4 linked regions of the Rattus norvegicus genome follow. The protein of the gene in region 1 purifies or fractionates together with the protein of each later gene. This does not show direct contact. Links are inferred from orthologs where the notes say so. Each region holds a gene or a part of one and is shown in the gene's direction. Other genes may lie near its edges.

Evidence for each region.
Region 2: the proteins of Bet1 (region 1) and Napa purify together in Homo sapiens (affinity purification with mass spectrometry; 5 studies listed by BioGRID and IntAct, with this or other methods). This does not show direct contact. The link is inferred for Rattus norvegicus from reciprocal best matches to the Homo sapiens genes BET1 and NAPA.
Region 3: the proteins of Bet1 (region 1) and Gosr2 purify together in Homo sapiens (affinity purification with mass spectrometry; 3 studies listed by BioGRID and IntAct, with this or other methods). This does not show direct contact. The link is inferred for Rattus norvegicus from reciprocal best matches to the Homo sapiens genes BET1 and GOSR2.
Region 4: the proteins of Bet1 (region 1) and Gosr1 purify together in Homo sapiens (affinity purification with mass spectrometry; 3 studies listed by BioGRID and IntAct, with this or other methods). This does not show direct contact. The link is inferred for Rattus norvegicus from reciprocal best matches to the Homo sapiens genes BET1 and GOSR1.

What each region holds. Positions count from the first base shown.
Region 1 is NC_086022.1:33,078,363-33,082,642, reverse strand, and holds the start of Bet1 (BET1 homolog), read left to right. Parts: upstream 1-1,480; 5' UTR 1,481-1,561; coding exon 1,562-1,580; intron 1,581-4,280. UniProt on the Homo sapiens protein: Required for vesicular transport from the ER to the Golgi complex. Functions as a SNARE involved in the docking process of ER-derived vesicles with the cis-Golgi membrane.
Region 2 is NC_086019.1:85,928,935-85,932,434, forward strand, and holds part of Napa (alpha-soluble NSF attachment protein), read left to right. Parts: intron 1-468; coding exon 469-515; intron 516-964; coding exon of another isoform or gene 965-987; coding exon 988-1,065; intron 1,066-1,225; coding exon 1,226-1,281; intron 1,282-1,355; coding exon 1,356-1,440; intron 1,441-2,078; coding exon 2,079-2,183; intron 2,184-3,141; coding exon 3,142-3,210; intron 3,211-3,500. UniProt on the Homo sapiens protein: Required for vesicular transport between the endoplasmic reticulum and the Golgi apparatus. Together with GNA12 promotes CDH5 localization to plasma membrane.
Region 3 is NC_086028.1:89,095,633-89,099,132, reverse strand, and holds part of Gosr2 (Golgi SNAP receptor complex member 2), read left to right. Parts: intron 1-1,500; coding exon 1,501-1,565; intron 1,566-3,053; coding exon 3,054-3,162; intron 3,163-3,500. UniProt on the Homo sapiens protein: Involved in transport of proteins from the cis/medial-Golgi to the trans-Golgi network.
Region 4 is NC_086028.1:62,091,816-62,095,315, reverse strand, and holds part of Gosr1 (Golgi SNAP receptor complex member 1), read left to right. Parts: intron 1-507; coding exon 508-599; intron 600-3,040; coding exon 3,041-3,115; intron 3,116-3,121; exon of another isoform or gene 3,122-3,500. UniProt on the Homo sapiens protein: Involved in transport from the ER to the Golgi apparatus as well as in intra-Golgi transport. It belongs to a super-family of proteins called t-SNAREs or soluble NSF (N-ethylmaleimide-sensitive factor) attachment protein receptor.

The sequences.
Region 1 (4,280 bases):
AATATCAAGAGTTTGGTATGGCAAGAAGGATGGACAGTCACAGAAAAAGGAAGTCTATCGTTTCTCTCATTGAATTATATCTTCCCCAGATCCATCATCATTTAATCGCATTGCTTTTGGAGAATGGCGGCTTACTTTATCTTTATGAAGACTCTTTTAATGCTATTAAAGTTTATTTTCCCAGTTAATATATCACATTGTAAATCATTTCATGTGTATTTTACAGACACTGTCTTAAGGCAGAGACTTAAGCTGTAATTATAGTCAATGTTTAAGTTGGGAATTGACTTATATGATCAGTGTTTATAATGTATACTTTATAATAATAATAGTATAGTAGTTTCAGAAAGCTCTATTATAAATACCACATCACTGCCATACAGTAGCAACACAACTATATTAACATGGGCAGTAAATAACTATTGGCTTCAAAAAACATTATTTTTGTGTAACCTTGTAATGATCCTTTGATATTAACCACTATACTTCCACGCATCCTAACAAACTTTTAAGCCCATAATTGGACCCCATGCTCCACCCAAACAAGTATTAGGTATTTGTGTGTATTTGGGTTTTTTTCTGCCCATGTTCTTGGTTTTGTAAGTATCACTAGAACACTTAATTTTATCTACCCACTCCTCTTTGTCTATCTTTCCCTCTCCTGGCAGGATGAAGTCTGCAGGCCTGGGTAAGAAAGAGCTGAGGTTCGAAGTTTGGGGACCCTAGAACCTGCTGAGCCAGGAGTAGGGGCGTGGGAGGAAACTACTGGCCTTCTGTCAATGACTTTGGGGTTTGAAATACGCAAGTTATTTGCGTTATTTAAAAGGTCCCTAAGTAGGAGGGAGTGTTTAAAAGCTAAACATCACGGTTCTTTCCAGACATAGAGCAAATGCATTAAACGAGGAATGAGGAATGAGAGACTCCCCACTTCCCTACCAGATGTTCTACTGCGAAGATACAGATTTTTTTTTTCCCTTTCTATTCCACTGGGCAGGATCAGGAAGTAAGAGGATTGATCTTCCTTTAATGCTAAGAGGCTCAGACAGTATAGATGAGACTCTCGAACCAAGTTTGCACTGACTTACTCTCCTCGGACTTTGGGAGTGCAAGGGAAAATCAAGAAAGATGAGTCACCATCATCCAGGCCAGGGAGGAATAACTCTCCCCGGCTAAAGTTGGCACTAACATCATAAAGTCCCTTACTGGCAGCTCTGGAAGAGGTAAAGACCCAGACTCACAGGACTAGAGCCACAGCAGCAGCCTCTGCCCTTCCGGAAACCCCACCCGCTTCAGACTTGGTTCCTACCACGCCCCTCTTACCCTGTGCCCCAGAAGCCCGAAGACTACATTTCCCAGAATGCAACTAAAATCTCATTGCAGGGCGCCTATATGTGTCCGGGTGACGACATAAACCGGCGCGGTGTTTAGACTTTACTGATGTCGTGGCGCTCTGAGGCAAAAAGTTGTTTCTCTGAGGAGCCTTAGGACTGAAGCCGAGGTTGGGTGACCCTGGCCCTTTCCTACCCACTCTTCCTTGCCCTCCTTCCCCTCTCGTGGCAGGATGAGGCGTGCAGGCCTGGGTAAGAGCAGTGCTGAAGTTCGAAGTTTGGGGACCCGAGGACCTGCTGAACCGGGAGTAGGGGCGTGGGAGGAAAACTACCGGCCTTCTGTCAGTGACTTTGGAGTTCCAAAGCGAGTTGTTGGGTTCTTTGGAGAAGGTTCACATCATTTGTCCCAGTTACGAGCGGTTTCCTTAAGTTGAATTTAGACGAAAGTTTAAACCTATATGATACGTTGCACAGTGGTGAGTTGGTTAATAGTCTTAAGTTTTTCTTTCTCTATATGCTAGTTTTTGGGGAGTAGCCCTATTTCCCAAGCCTCGCCGTTTCCTTTGCTTTACTCATTCAGGATCTTACTACTACTACTACTACTACTACTACTACTACTACTACTACTACTATTACTACTACTACTACTACTACTACTATTACTACTACTACTACCATCACCTCCTCCTCCTCCTCCTCCTCCTCCTCCTCCTCCTCCTCCTCCTCCTCCTCCTCCTCCTCCTCCTCCTCCTCCTTCTCCTCCTCCTCCTCCTCCTCCTCTTTTTTAAAGAAGTGACATTTGGGGAGTGGGTATTAAGCTTTTAGCACAGCAATAACGATGTGTTAGTATGGTAACAGTGAGTTACAAAGGTTATGTGTCATTGCTAGCATTGCTAGAGTGCCTGTTGTGAAAGGTCTGGCGATTTACTTGGAACGTTTCTGAGCTAGACCTTGCCCTACTGCTAAGGCAATAGAAGATAGTTTTGATGACTTAACACTTGTTTTTGCCTTTATGGATCAGGGAAAGGAATAACCTAGTAATTACAGAAAGTAATTAGATTACTGTTTTCTGGTTCTGAAGTTCTTTCTCAATAATGTTTTAAAGAAGAAAGGGCAGAATACTTGAAAAAAGTGTATGAAATATTAAAAAGGATGTTGCCATTCTGTCATAAATTGGAATAATTAAAACAGTTTTAAAAAGTGTAATGTGTTTAAAGCCAGTAAATGGACACACACTTGAAATTAGGTAAGAAAAATAAATAAAGCCTCTTTTTCAACTCACAATTCACAGCTTGTTAGGATTTTTAATTTTATAAGAAGTTATACAATATTTATGACAGTGTGAAGACATAGTAGTATTTTTAGTAAGGTTGGTTGTAGGAATAGAATGAGCCACTGGAAAATAAGGGCAATGAAAGGTGTCAATAATATAGATATACAAGTTGCATGTGAAGGAATTTGTAAATTTAGCTGCACTCTTTGAAAGAAAGTAGTCCATCTCAACCTAACAAACTACTTTCAAACAAGATTAGTCACCTGTGCCTAAATTTTTCCATCACTAACAACATTAGACATTTATTGTGATATACCATGTGCTTCCCAAAGCTTCCAGTGTTACCAAGGGGAAGAAGACAAATTGCTTCTGAAGCAGATGACAAAATTATGATCCAAGGTGGTAACTTTTCATTCAGTACAAGTTAAGTTCAACAGATAGTGAATGCAGTAGCAATTTCATTATAAATGGCTCACTGTGTACCTCCTGAAGCCAGGGGAACTTGAAGGATGCCGGTGACAGTGACGATTGAGAGAAGTAAGTCCCAGGTGGGATGATTCAGAGTAGCCGTGAATGATGTGTACAAGAGATTGTAGTGAAGTCACCCTGAGTGAAGCTAGGACCCGGAGGCATTCCAGAGGTCTTGGTCTATTCAAGGAGTTTACACTTCGTCAGGCCAGTGACCTATTGGAATTTTGTTTGTGCATACTGTTTTTAATACATGCAAGTCACGGACTCGACAGTAGGTTTCTACCTCTGACTGAATGTGAGAATTACTCAGAAAGATGTTAAATTAGTTTTTCAATTAAATTAGAATCATCAGGCTTGAAATGCAGTGAGAAGAGGGGTAATTATTTGGTTAAGTATGTATCATTTAAATTGGTGTTAAATAATGAAGATTTTTAAAACTACCATAGTGTGTTGACCTGAATTTGAAATTTGAAAGAATGGTGAGTCTGATAGGCGTTCACATGTAAAACCTGCCACATTACACATGAGCTGTTAAATGAATCGACCTGATTATTGATAGAACCTGCTTCAAGGAAGCAGCACTTTTCAGAAATTACGTCAGCTGACGATGACCTTCAAGACTTGCCTTTCAACAGTTCTTTATAGTAGTAATTAATTCTCACTGAAAACTTAGGTCTCATTCATACTCAGGAATGGTAACTGTAGTATTTTATTTTAGCTTAGTTTGTTTCATTTTTCTGTTTGTGGGTGGAAGATGGTGCGAAGAAAGATCAAATTTGCAACTGCATTAAAAATTTCTGGATCAAAATTTAGTCACAGGGTTGGGGATTTAGCTCAGCGGTAGAGCGCTTGCCTAGCAAGCGCAAGGCTCTGGGTTCGGTCCCCAGCTCCGGAAAAAAAAGAAAATTAAAAAAAAATTTAGTCACTTTAATTAAAATGATTTAATCTCTGGACCTAATGAGATAATCTGTTAAAGAACAAAGTGGAAGAACTCTGAAATTAAATTTAAGATAGGCCAGAGAGTCAAAACAAAAGAAATAAAACAAAATAGCCATTAATTTTGGACAAATTCATTGATGAAATTGTCCAGTGATTAACTTCATCCAGAATTACTTACTGGACAATATGTCATACCTGGATCCTTAGTCACATAAAACAAGTTAAAGATCTTAGTACACAGTATATTTTAAGTGTTGGTTTTAGTTGGT
Region 2 (3,500 bases), on another chromosome or scaffold:
GGGCCCAGTGCTCATTGCATCCAGCCTTCTCTGCAGGAGAGGCCAGTCAGGCTAAACTCAAGGATAGGACTCACTCAGGACAGTCTTCAAGGTCAGACACTGAGCCCTATAGCCTCTGCCCCAGCTAGCAGTTTGCCCTTTGATGGCAGGGCTGTGATAGTCTGATTCAAACTCTATAGGAGTCTGACTGTGCCACTGTGCCCTGATCTGCTTGCAAGCTGGAAGTGTGGCTGCCTAAGGGAGCTGGCCTCCCTGGGAAGAAGTGCCCAGCATGTCTCTGTATGCAGAAATACTCAGTCCAACTAGGTTGCCTGGGGTCTAGGGCTCCCACCCTTCCGGTTGCTCGAGATCCTAAGAGCCCTGAAGCCAAGGCAACCATGTGCCCGTCATCTCCCTGAGGGAGTATAGTCTGCCTCCTGTCCTCAGGACCTGCTATAATGACCTCTCCATCTTCTCTTTCCTCCCCAGAGGCCATTAACTGTCTGATGAGAGCAATTGAGATCTATACAGACATGGTAAGGGTTGCTTGCTGATCCTGCCTTGCTCTGTCCCATCCTGTCTATACTGTGCTTTAGGGGTCAGGGATTTGATCGCTGAGCTGAGTGACAGAATGGGGTGTCTGCTGCGGCACACACCCGTCTCATGCTGCCTCTGTCCCCTTCATGATCCCCTGTGGGGGCAGTGCCTATGCAGGTGCTTCCCTTGCCCGGCACTCCCCTGGTGTCTGTAGGAGCCTGAGAAATGCTCAGCCTCACCCTCTAGTAAGGTACTGTCCTGAGAGCTAGCCGCTAGGGAGAAGGCCACACTAGGCCACTGCTCTTGTCAGCTCATTGCTGTTCATCCCTCCACAAGTCATCCCCCTGTCTGTGTGGTCAGACCCCTTACCGAGGTGGGAACCCAAGGAGGCTAAAGTGGATTGGGGTGAGAATTGCTGTGGAACACTTCTCTGGTCACATCTCTTTAGTGTGCTCTCCCCCTCATCCCCAGGGCAGATTCACAATCGCAGCCAAGCACCACATCTCCATTGCTGAGATCTATGAGACAGAACTGGTGGATGTAGAGAAGGTGAGCTGGTATCAGGCTGGCTGTGCCTGAGCCTCTGGTGTTCCCATTCCCACCCACCATGATGTCCCACCCTATGGTCTCGGAAGGCAGGGGAGGCTGTGTTGAGTCACTGCTCCACCCTGTCCACCATTTCATTTGTCCCATTCTCATGTCTCCCCAGGCCATTGCCCACTACGAGCAATCTGCAGACTACTACAAAGGAGAAGAGTCCAACAGGTAGCCCCTCCCCAGCCTCCCCTCCTGTCTTGAAGGGACTTGCTACTGTCCCTTCATGCCCCTCCTCCCCACAGCTCAGCCAACAAGTGTCTGCTGAAGGTGGCTGGCTACGCCGCACAGCTGGAGCAGTACCAGAAGGCTATCGACATCTATGAGCAGGTGGGCTTTGCCTGGCTGTCAGCTTCTGCCACCCACCTCTGCCTGCCCCACTCGGTCTGCACTCTCTCCCAGGCCACTCTCACCAAATGCTTCTTCCACCTACAACCTGTCCTAGGTGTGTCCTGCCCCTCCTCACAGGAGCTGTCCCCAGAGCTGGGTATCCTCTACAGAAAAAGTAGGGCACAAGGGAGAAGAATCAGCAGAGGAGGGACCCTGAACCATGGGAAGCACCAGGTGTCATGTGACACTGTGCTTGGGGGGGCCAGTGTGTGACCAGAAGAAAGGCAGGCAGCTGGCTGTGGGAGAAGGGCGGGCACTACTTCTCATGCTCCCACAACTGCCACCCCTCTGCCCACTAAATGCCAATTTCCTGTGTGTCTAGCAGTGGTGCCTCCTCCCCACTGATTGGGGAGAGGCCCACAGACACCTGCCTTCCCTTACTCCACCCACACCCTCATCATGTTCTGGTCATTCTGGCAACACTCTGTAACCTTGCTGAGCTGTCTCTGTTCACTTGTCATCCTGTGGTCCCCAGACCTCACAGCAGAGTATGGGCTTAGCTCCCAGCAGGCTTTAGGGCCACAGTGACCTTCACCCTTGAGTTTCCTGTCTAAGCTCATGGTGATATGTGGCTGTAGGTGGGGACCAGCGCCATGGACAGTCCCCTCCTCAAGTACAGCGCCAAAGACTACTTCTTCAAGGCGGCCCTTTGCCACTTCTGCATCGACATGCTGAACGCCAAGGTGAGCCACTGCCTTTCCATGCTGTCACTTTTTGTCAACAGGCCAAGATGTTTCTCAGTGTTAGAGGTCAGTTTATCCACTTGGCCCCTTACCCTTTGGTTAGGATGGAAAATAGTCTGGATGCTTTTCTGATTTCCCAGCTGATGGCTGGCCTGTCCCCTTTATGGCTACTATATATCCTGACTGTCCCATTCAGCTGTGGTGCAGAAGCTGCTGAGGCCCAGGCACAGATCCTGCCAGGACCTGGGACTCGAAAGTGGCATGACTTGACTTTTGGCTTTATGCCTGCCCACTGAATCTCTGTACTTCTGGGCAAGAGGTCAGGGATAGGGATAGCTATGGTTGGTAGAAGGGTCTGGAAACTGAGTGTTGGCTTTCAATCCTCTAGTAGCCCCACAAGGACTACGTGACGTCTGGCTGCCCCACAGTCTCCTTCCCAAGTACAGCTGGCAGCTCTGCATTTGGGGGAGGTAGAACAGTTTGCTGTTTTTACTTTCTGTGGTGGGCATGGAACCTGAGCCTCCTGTCTGCTATGCAAATGCTCTGCCACTGAGCCACATCCCAGCCCGCAGTGATGAATTAATTATAAGCACACAGTTGGGTTTTGTCAGAGCAGGCTGCACCCCCACCCAACTCACCTAGTATCCCCAGTAAGTTTTCCCACTGCCACTGACCTGCTCACGGCTCTCAGAAGGGCTCCACGTGTGAAAACTCAGCTATAGACCTGACAGGTGCAGTAGGCTCTTTTGCCTCCTTCCTCTCTCTGTACCTGGACAACTTGCCCCTTCCTACAGCCACCTCTACCAGCTGGACTCAGCTGCGCTGAGGAATGGCACCATCAGGCATGAGTCAGGGACCCTGGATGCCAGGGCATGGAGCACCAAAACAGAACTGCCAGCCAGTGCTTTTGGTGCCCGAGTCTCTCTCACCTTTTCTCCCCCTCTCTCCTGTTGCTCAGCTTGCTGTTCAGAAGTATGAGGAGCTGTTCCCTGCCTTCTCGGATTCCCGGGAATGCAAGCTGATGAAAGTGAGCACTGGATTGGGCTCGCCCTGAACTGGGTGTGGAGTGGGCAGGGATGCCTGGATCTGGGTCTCAGCTGGGGTGACCACCAGAATTGCTTAGAGGGGCTGTGTTTAATTTGGTTTTCTCATGCCGTTCTGTTCAGTTCTCTACCTGAAACAAGTACATACATGCAGGGACAGTGGAGAGCAATGGGCAGGGCCAGGAGCTTGGGGTTTCCCTTGCACATGCACCACAGTGTCCTGACTGGGGCAGAACCTGTCAGTGTGGGGTCCTCCTTGCAGTTATACCCCACA
Region 3 (3,500 bases), on another chromosome or scaffold:
CACAAAGAGCCTTTTTTTTTTTTTTTTTTTTTTTTGGTTGGGAGGATTCCATGAAGTGTGTTCTCTATTCAGATGATAAATTGAACTGTCAGAATTTATTTAAATTAATTTTTTCCCCATTGACTTATGTCTCCAGTCTCCAAGTATGTGACTGCTTCTGGGCCCTGGTCTTTGCTCTTGGGTCCAGGGTAAGATTGTCTATATCCTTGTACTGCTGTCATATGGTTATTTATTATGGCTTTGTAGTTGGTACTGAGCGCTATATATAGTGTGCACAGTAGAGAAAGATTGTTGAGCTTTCCCTTAAGGGCTGGAGATAGGCCTTCTTCAGACAGGTCCTATGTAGAAAGCCTTTCTTTTATAAGCACAGGAGGCCATTGGGGCTAACATAGACAACATTCCAAGGACTGTCAAGTGATGGGGAACCACTAGGAAGGGTTTGGAAGGTGGTGACTTTGGCCTGGAACTTCTCCAGGCCTAATGTCTGGGACATGTTGCATTTCTAGATGAGATGGCAGTCCTCCTCCTGTTGTCAGGGAAAGATGTTTACAAAACAGGAGATACCTATCTCTCAGGGCCATTCCCTTAAGTGTTCCTTCCACTGCCTGGTCCCCTCTGTTCTTTCTCTCTCTGACTGTTTTTCAAGCACTCCATTTTGCTTTTGCCCCATGTGAAATGCCTTGCATGCCCTTCTGCAGATCATCATCTTGCAACCTGTCTTCACTAAACCTCATTTTACCTTCTTAAAAGTGATGCTCAGATCTGCATTCAAGCCTACGTGCTTGTGTGCACGCCTGTAATCCTAGCACTGTGTAGGCGAAGGCAGGAGGATCACAAGTTCAAGGCAAGCCTGGGCTGTGTAAATGAGAAAACTCAGCAACCACAACTCCTTCCAGCTACGAAACCCCAGTTTACACTTTGTTAACCCAGCCTTCCCGCCTCCTTGGCTGCACTGTACACAACTCCCTCAACTTTGTTTCCGCCTGTGTGTGTTGGGGTTTCTTAAATCTTCTCAGGGGTTTCTCATGTCTGTTCAGCCTGTCAGTTCCTAATTATGTTGTTTCTCAGGGGCGAGGATTATATCTTCCTTGCCCTTTGGCTCTTGGTAGGCAGACCAGTGCTCAGCACATTAGGTCGCAGAACAGAGAGTGGGATTGGCTGGATACTGGTTGAGGTTTATCGCCTGCTGTGTGGCCTTGAGCAACTTACTTGACCTTTCTGGTTTCAGTTTTTATTTATAAACTGAGAGCAGTGATGATGCTTTCCTCTGGGGTTACTGACTTAGCAGTGTCTCAGATACAGTAAGCTCTCTCTAAATGCTATCAGCGTTGTTCTTAGCATGAGGTTTGAAATGAAGCCTGAAGTGCCACATACAGATTTTACAGTTGAGTAGCACCGTCACCTTAAATCAGCTGTAAGGCAGCATTAAGAGAAGTTGTCTTTCCTGACCGAGGTGCTGGTGACCACCCCTGTCTCACTCATTTCCTCTTCCTTTGATAGGCAGGTCCACGAGATCCAGTCTCACATGGGACGCCTGGAGACGGCAGACAAGCAGTCTGTGCACTGTGAGTAATTAACCAGGGAGAGCAGAGTCCTTTCCCTGATGGCATGGGGCTAATGGGCTGGGTTTCCTGACTGCATTCTGCCTTAGGGGCTTAATGACTCAGCATGGAATGAGTTGTTGTTAGAATGGACAGAAAAACCCTATGGCCAATAGATTTCCCCGATTGTGCCCCTTGGAGTCCCACCAGTTTTATCCCCCATTACCCTTCCACTCAACCTGACGGCCCTATGGGAATGGAAGTTCTCCTTCCATCTGTCTTAATCTAATTACCTAGTCTGAAAATTCAGACATGTTGACCTGGAACTGGCCATCTCTTCCAAGCTGAGACTCTGGCTTCTTAGTAGGATTATTCAGACAGCTAGCAATATTAATTAGTTTAGTTCCCATACCACAGGTTTGTGTGTGTGTGTGTGTGTGTGTGTGTGTGTGTGTGTAGCATGTGGGTTGTGGTTTGGAGTTTTTTGGTTTTGTTCCAAGCAAAGGCCCCTTACTGAGCCAGCCCTATAGACCTCCCTTGGAAGCTCTTGTCACCCTACAGCCCAGCTCTGGCCAGGCCTCTTCTGTTTCCTGTTTCCTCTTTTTCCCTGGCTCCCCAGGGTGGTCCTTCCCTTGACTCTGCACCCTATAGTGCCCTAATCTAAATTGTCTGTGTTTGCTGCAGGTGCGAAGACCTAGCAAGAGGGTGGTACTGGGGTTGTCATTTCTCCTGGGTGCGGCAGCCGCCTGGGTGCGTGCTCTGTGCACTTTAGTTTCTGCCTACTGGCCTTTGTTTGCCTTTCCAGCAATCTCACTGTCGCCTGATTAGAAGTGGAAAGAGGTCATTTTGACAGCTTTATCAAAGGGGATAAGGAAAATGACTATCATATTTTCTACCTCTGCCTGTGCTTTCCTGGGTCTTTCCGATTGATATGTGGTCTATTTTGAGGGCCCTAACACATCTCAGCCTACCATTCTTTCAGAAAGCCTCTGGGTATTTCTATACTGGTCTTCCCTTTCCTTTATACCTTTTATTGCTCTTTTAGCCTTATTACTATAAGGAATTCAGTTGGCAACACTTCTCCTAGCGGTTTATAGTCCATATCTGAGACCAGTCTCAAATAGACCTACATCAGAAAATTTAACTTAACAGAGTTTTATGGGCAACCATTAAATATTCATTTTATTTTCTAATGAATATAATAATATTTGTGTACATTGTGCTCCTTTGGGAATACATATGCTTTAGTTTGTGTTATAGCTTATCATTTTTACTTTGTTGTTTTGGGGTTTTTTGTTTGTTTTTGTTTTGTTTGTGACTGTGGCCCTGGCTGTCCTGGAACTTGCTCTGTAGACCAGGCTGGCCTAGAACTCAGAGATCTACCTGCCTCTGCCTCCCAAGTGCTGGGTTAAAGGTGTATGCCAACATGGCCTGGCACGATCCATCACTCTTAATTTACGTTATTATCTTTTTTCTAGCAGTTATTCTTTCTCTCCCCTCTCTTTTGTGCAGTAGTGGAAAATGAAATCCAAGCAAGCATAGACCAGATATTCAGCCACCTGGAGCGTCTGGAGATTCTGTCAAGCAAGGAGCCCCCCAATAGAAGGCAGAACGCCAAACTGTGAGTGTTGGTCCCTGACAGGCTTGGCTACCACGGGCCCCTAAGGCAGGCCTTTCTCCCATTGGAAGTTTTAGAATATTCTGAAAAATCTGGGTACATGCTAAAGAAATGAAGTCTGTGCGAAGAGAAAGTCTCCCTAAAATACACAGTTCTGTGTAAACAATAGACCCCCAAGTTAACCTGTGATCGTGGCCCCTTGTTTCATTGAGGTGATTATAACCCACTGTCCTTTGAGGTAATTTTGAAAATGTGCGTTTTCTGACCAGATCCCTGGTCACTGGAAGCTTAGTGCTGCTGAGGAGTTTGGCTCTGCTGTTTGGTTCCCACTGGCGTCTGTT
Region 4 (3,500 bases), on another chromosome or scaffold:
AAAGAAAATCTGTCAACATTTCAAATTGATCATGAGTGAAATTTAGAAATTTCTGAGCGTTGAAGAGCTAAGGAAGATCTAATGCGAGAAACTACAACAAAGGACTCAACTGCTTAATATACAAAAGTAATACAAATATGGAAGACAATAGAATTTTCTTAAAAATGAACTGGGGGTGTAGCTCCGTGGTAGAGCACTTGGTTTGCATTTGTAAGGCCATGGGTTGGATCCTCAGCAGTGAGGGAAAGATGGGGTCGGAGACAGGGTTTAAAAAGTAAGCTCTAAGCCTTATTAGGTACACCATTGGGTAGAAAATCTCTCCCTTCTTTTACCCTAGGCTGTTTGAAGTCATTTTGCCTTAGGTTTTTTTCCTTATAACTCTGTCCTGTGTGGTAAGGTACTAGGTGGTAGGACACTTAGTGTTGGAAATGTGTAACCTGATAAACAGATAAAAGGATAAAAGTACATAAATAGTTTGTGTTGAGACTGGATGTTGATTTATTTCAGGATTATACACATGAATTCCATAAAACCAAAGCAAACTTTATGGCAATACGGGAAAGGGAGAATCTCATGGGATCAGTACGAAAAGATATTGAGTAAGTTACCTTTTGTGTTACTGTATACAATGTTTATGTGGATTTAGGCTGTATCTGTGGCTAATTGCAAATTGAGTAGCAAAACCAGGATTTAAACTTTGGGGTTTCTGATTTTCCATCTCATTTTCCTTTGAAGCTAAAGTCTGGGCTGACTCTACTTTGCCATCTCCCAGGCTTCCTGTGAGCCCCTGCCAACCCTGACTTTCCTAAGTCCAGCTTGAGTGATTCCCTTCCGTCCATGCTAAGAATGGCATGAATGCCAATAATAGGGTTCTATTTCTCTCTCTTTCTTCTCTCTTCTCCCTACCCACCCCCTCTCTTTCTTTCTCTCCCCCCCCCCCTCTCTCTCTCTCTCTCTCTCTCTCTCTCTCTCTCTCGTGTTCAGATAGCTATTAGCTTCCCTGAAATTCTGAACTATGTTTGTATGGGAGCAGGAGTTTCTAGGTTTAATGTAGAATCAAAGCCTTGTGAGACTAAGGCCTTCAGCATTTTATAGTGGTCTCACTCCCTAAGATTTGGACTGTCTTTCCATCTGTTGCTTCACTGCCCTGTACTGCCCTGTAGAAGTCCTATAGAGTATCTGACTGATGCTGAAGACTGTCTTTTGTTTGTTTGTTGTTTGTTTTCTTGAGGTCAGGCTGGCTTAGGGTATGGCCCTTCTGACTCTGCTCCCAAAGGCAGAGATGGTAGGTGGCTTCCACCATACCTAGACAGTTTTCCCATTTTGGACCATCTAATGACTGATGGTCTCGTTTGTGATAGTTTATGATACCTATGTTATATCAACTAGGACACACATTCATCACAAGCTGGTATGTGTTACATGTGCTCTGAGAAACGTTCCCAGAGAGCCTCTCTACATAGCATTAGCAGGCCTGAAACCTGCTGTGTAGAGCAGACTGGCCTCAAACTCTGATTCCTAAGAGCTGGGAGGAAAAGTGTGCACTAGCACACCTGACCTACAGTGTGATGGTTTTGTTGTTAGGAATGTATACGCCTTCTTTAATGTCTGTACAGTTGCCTTACACAGTTTGAAGACTGTGGTCAGAACCAACAGGGGGCGGCCTTCAATAACTATACATTTAGTTCTTCCACAGTTTGTGGGAGCCACTAGATATAACCCTTTAGTTTCTGAAGAATCGTTGATAAAAATATATTCATTCATTCATTAAACCATTGTCTGAGTACCAACTATGAACAAGACATTCTGTGTGAAAGGTCTATGTGAAAATGGCAGCTTAGCCTTGAAGGAGTTCATCATCAAAGTGCTAGAGAGGAGCTTGTTAGTGAGCGAGGCCTAGTATACCTGAGTAACAAGGGTTTGCAGAGGGGAGCTTGTTAGTGAGCGAGGCCTCTTAATACCTGCATAACAAGGGTTGTCTGGTGGCTTTGCTGGAATATTTTGTACTGTTTTTGCATTTTACACAGTCCTTTTCTGTGGGTTACCTTTCTGGTTCCACGATACTCTTTTGAAAGAGGCAGCTCTCATTAGGTCTTATTTTACAAAAGGAGTTACTGAGAGATTTTCTAAGATCATCCAGCTACATAATGGCGGTGCATAGACTTGAGAGTCATGTCAGCTGCTTTGCTAGTCTGTCCTGGGTCTTGTAGGCTGTCACTGTCCCTCAGCCAGGCCTTCGGGTTTTAGAACATGACCCTCTTTTCATAGACATTGGTACAGTTTGGGAATTAAAAAAAAAATTGTTCTTCAAGACCAGTTGTGGTGGCGCATGCCTTTAACCTCAGCACTCAGGAGTCAGAAGCAGGCAGATTCCTGTGAATTTGGTACATAGAGATTCCAGGTACATTTGAAATTCCCGGTATACATAGAGAATTCTAGGACAGCCAGGGTTACATGGAGAAACCCTGTCTCCCAAAAAAAGAGAAGGAAACAAAGTCTTCTTAATACTTACTTCTAGTGAAAAGCAGGGAATGAGATCGTTGATAGAAGTACAGGTCCCCTTTGGTAATTGTAATATGCTGACAGTGAACATGGAGATCCTGAAGTGTGCCAGGCTGAACATTTGAGTTGCAGAGTTCCTTAGGCTTCCCGCTCATGAGCGGCTCATGCTGCTGTGACGGATAACATTGGTTCAGTAGCTTCTTGCCCTGTGCGCCATGTGCTAACTAGTCTGAAGTTCTACCTTTGCTGGAGAAAATAAGACGCCAAGTTAATACACAAAGGAAAAGTAAGGTCCCCTGTTCAGAAGCCTGGGTTAGTTTGGTGAAAAACAGAGAACCCCTAAACCTAAGCTGGAGAAACAAACTCACCCTTTACATCTGTGGTAGTCGTTCATCCTTGAGGGAAGTGGAGAGCACCATATTCTGATTGCCTACTTGGAACTGTGGACTCTCCTCTGTTGTCATTAGGGTTTCGTGCCTTAACCTGATGTTGCAGCATCTACTAAAACTGCTCTCGCCTTTTCTTGACATTGCTTTAGGTCATATAAAAGTGGGTCTGGAGTAAACAACAGGAGAACTGAACTGTTTCTGAAAGAACATGACCACCTTCGAAAGTAAGTACTACCTGCTTTCCTGTGTTTGCTGATTCGTTTACCTGTAAAGACATTTTATTACAGTAAGGGCTTTGCTGATTGGAATTCATCCTGCTCTGAGTGGATTCAGTTGAAATGGATGGCAGCTCATCAGCCATAATTAAATGTTGCCCTTTGAGGATTTTCCTCCTCTCTTTGCCTGTCTTCTCTTTTAACCAGCATACTGCAAGTTATTAATGGTATCCACAGTAGTAATACCATGATGTGAATGGTCTCTTACCACGTACCTCATTGAAGAAACTTTATAAAGAGTAAAAAGGCCAATTATCAAGTGCTAAAGAAACAAACAAAAACAACAAAAGCACGATTTCAGCAGAAAATGACTGGGTAAAGTGTAAGTGTGCTT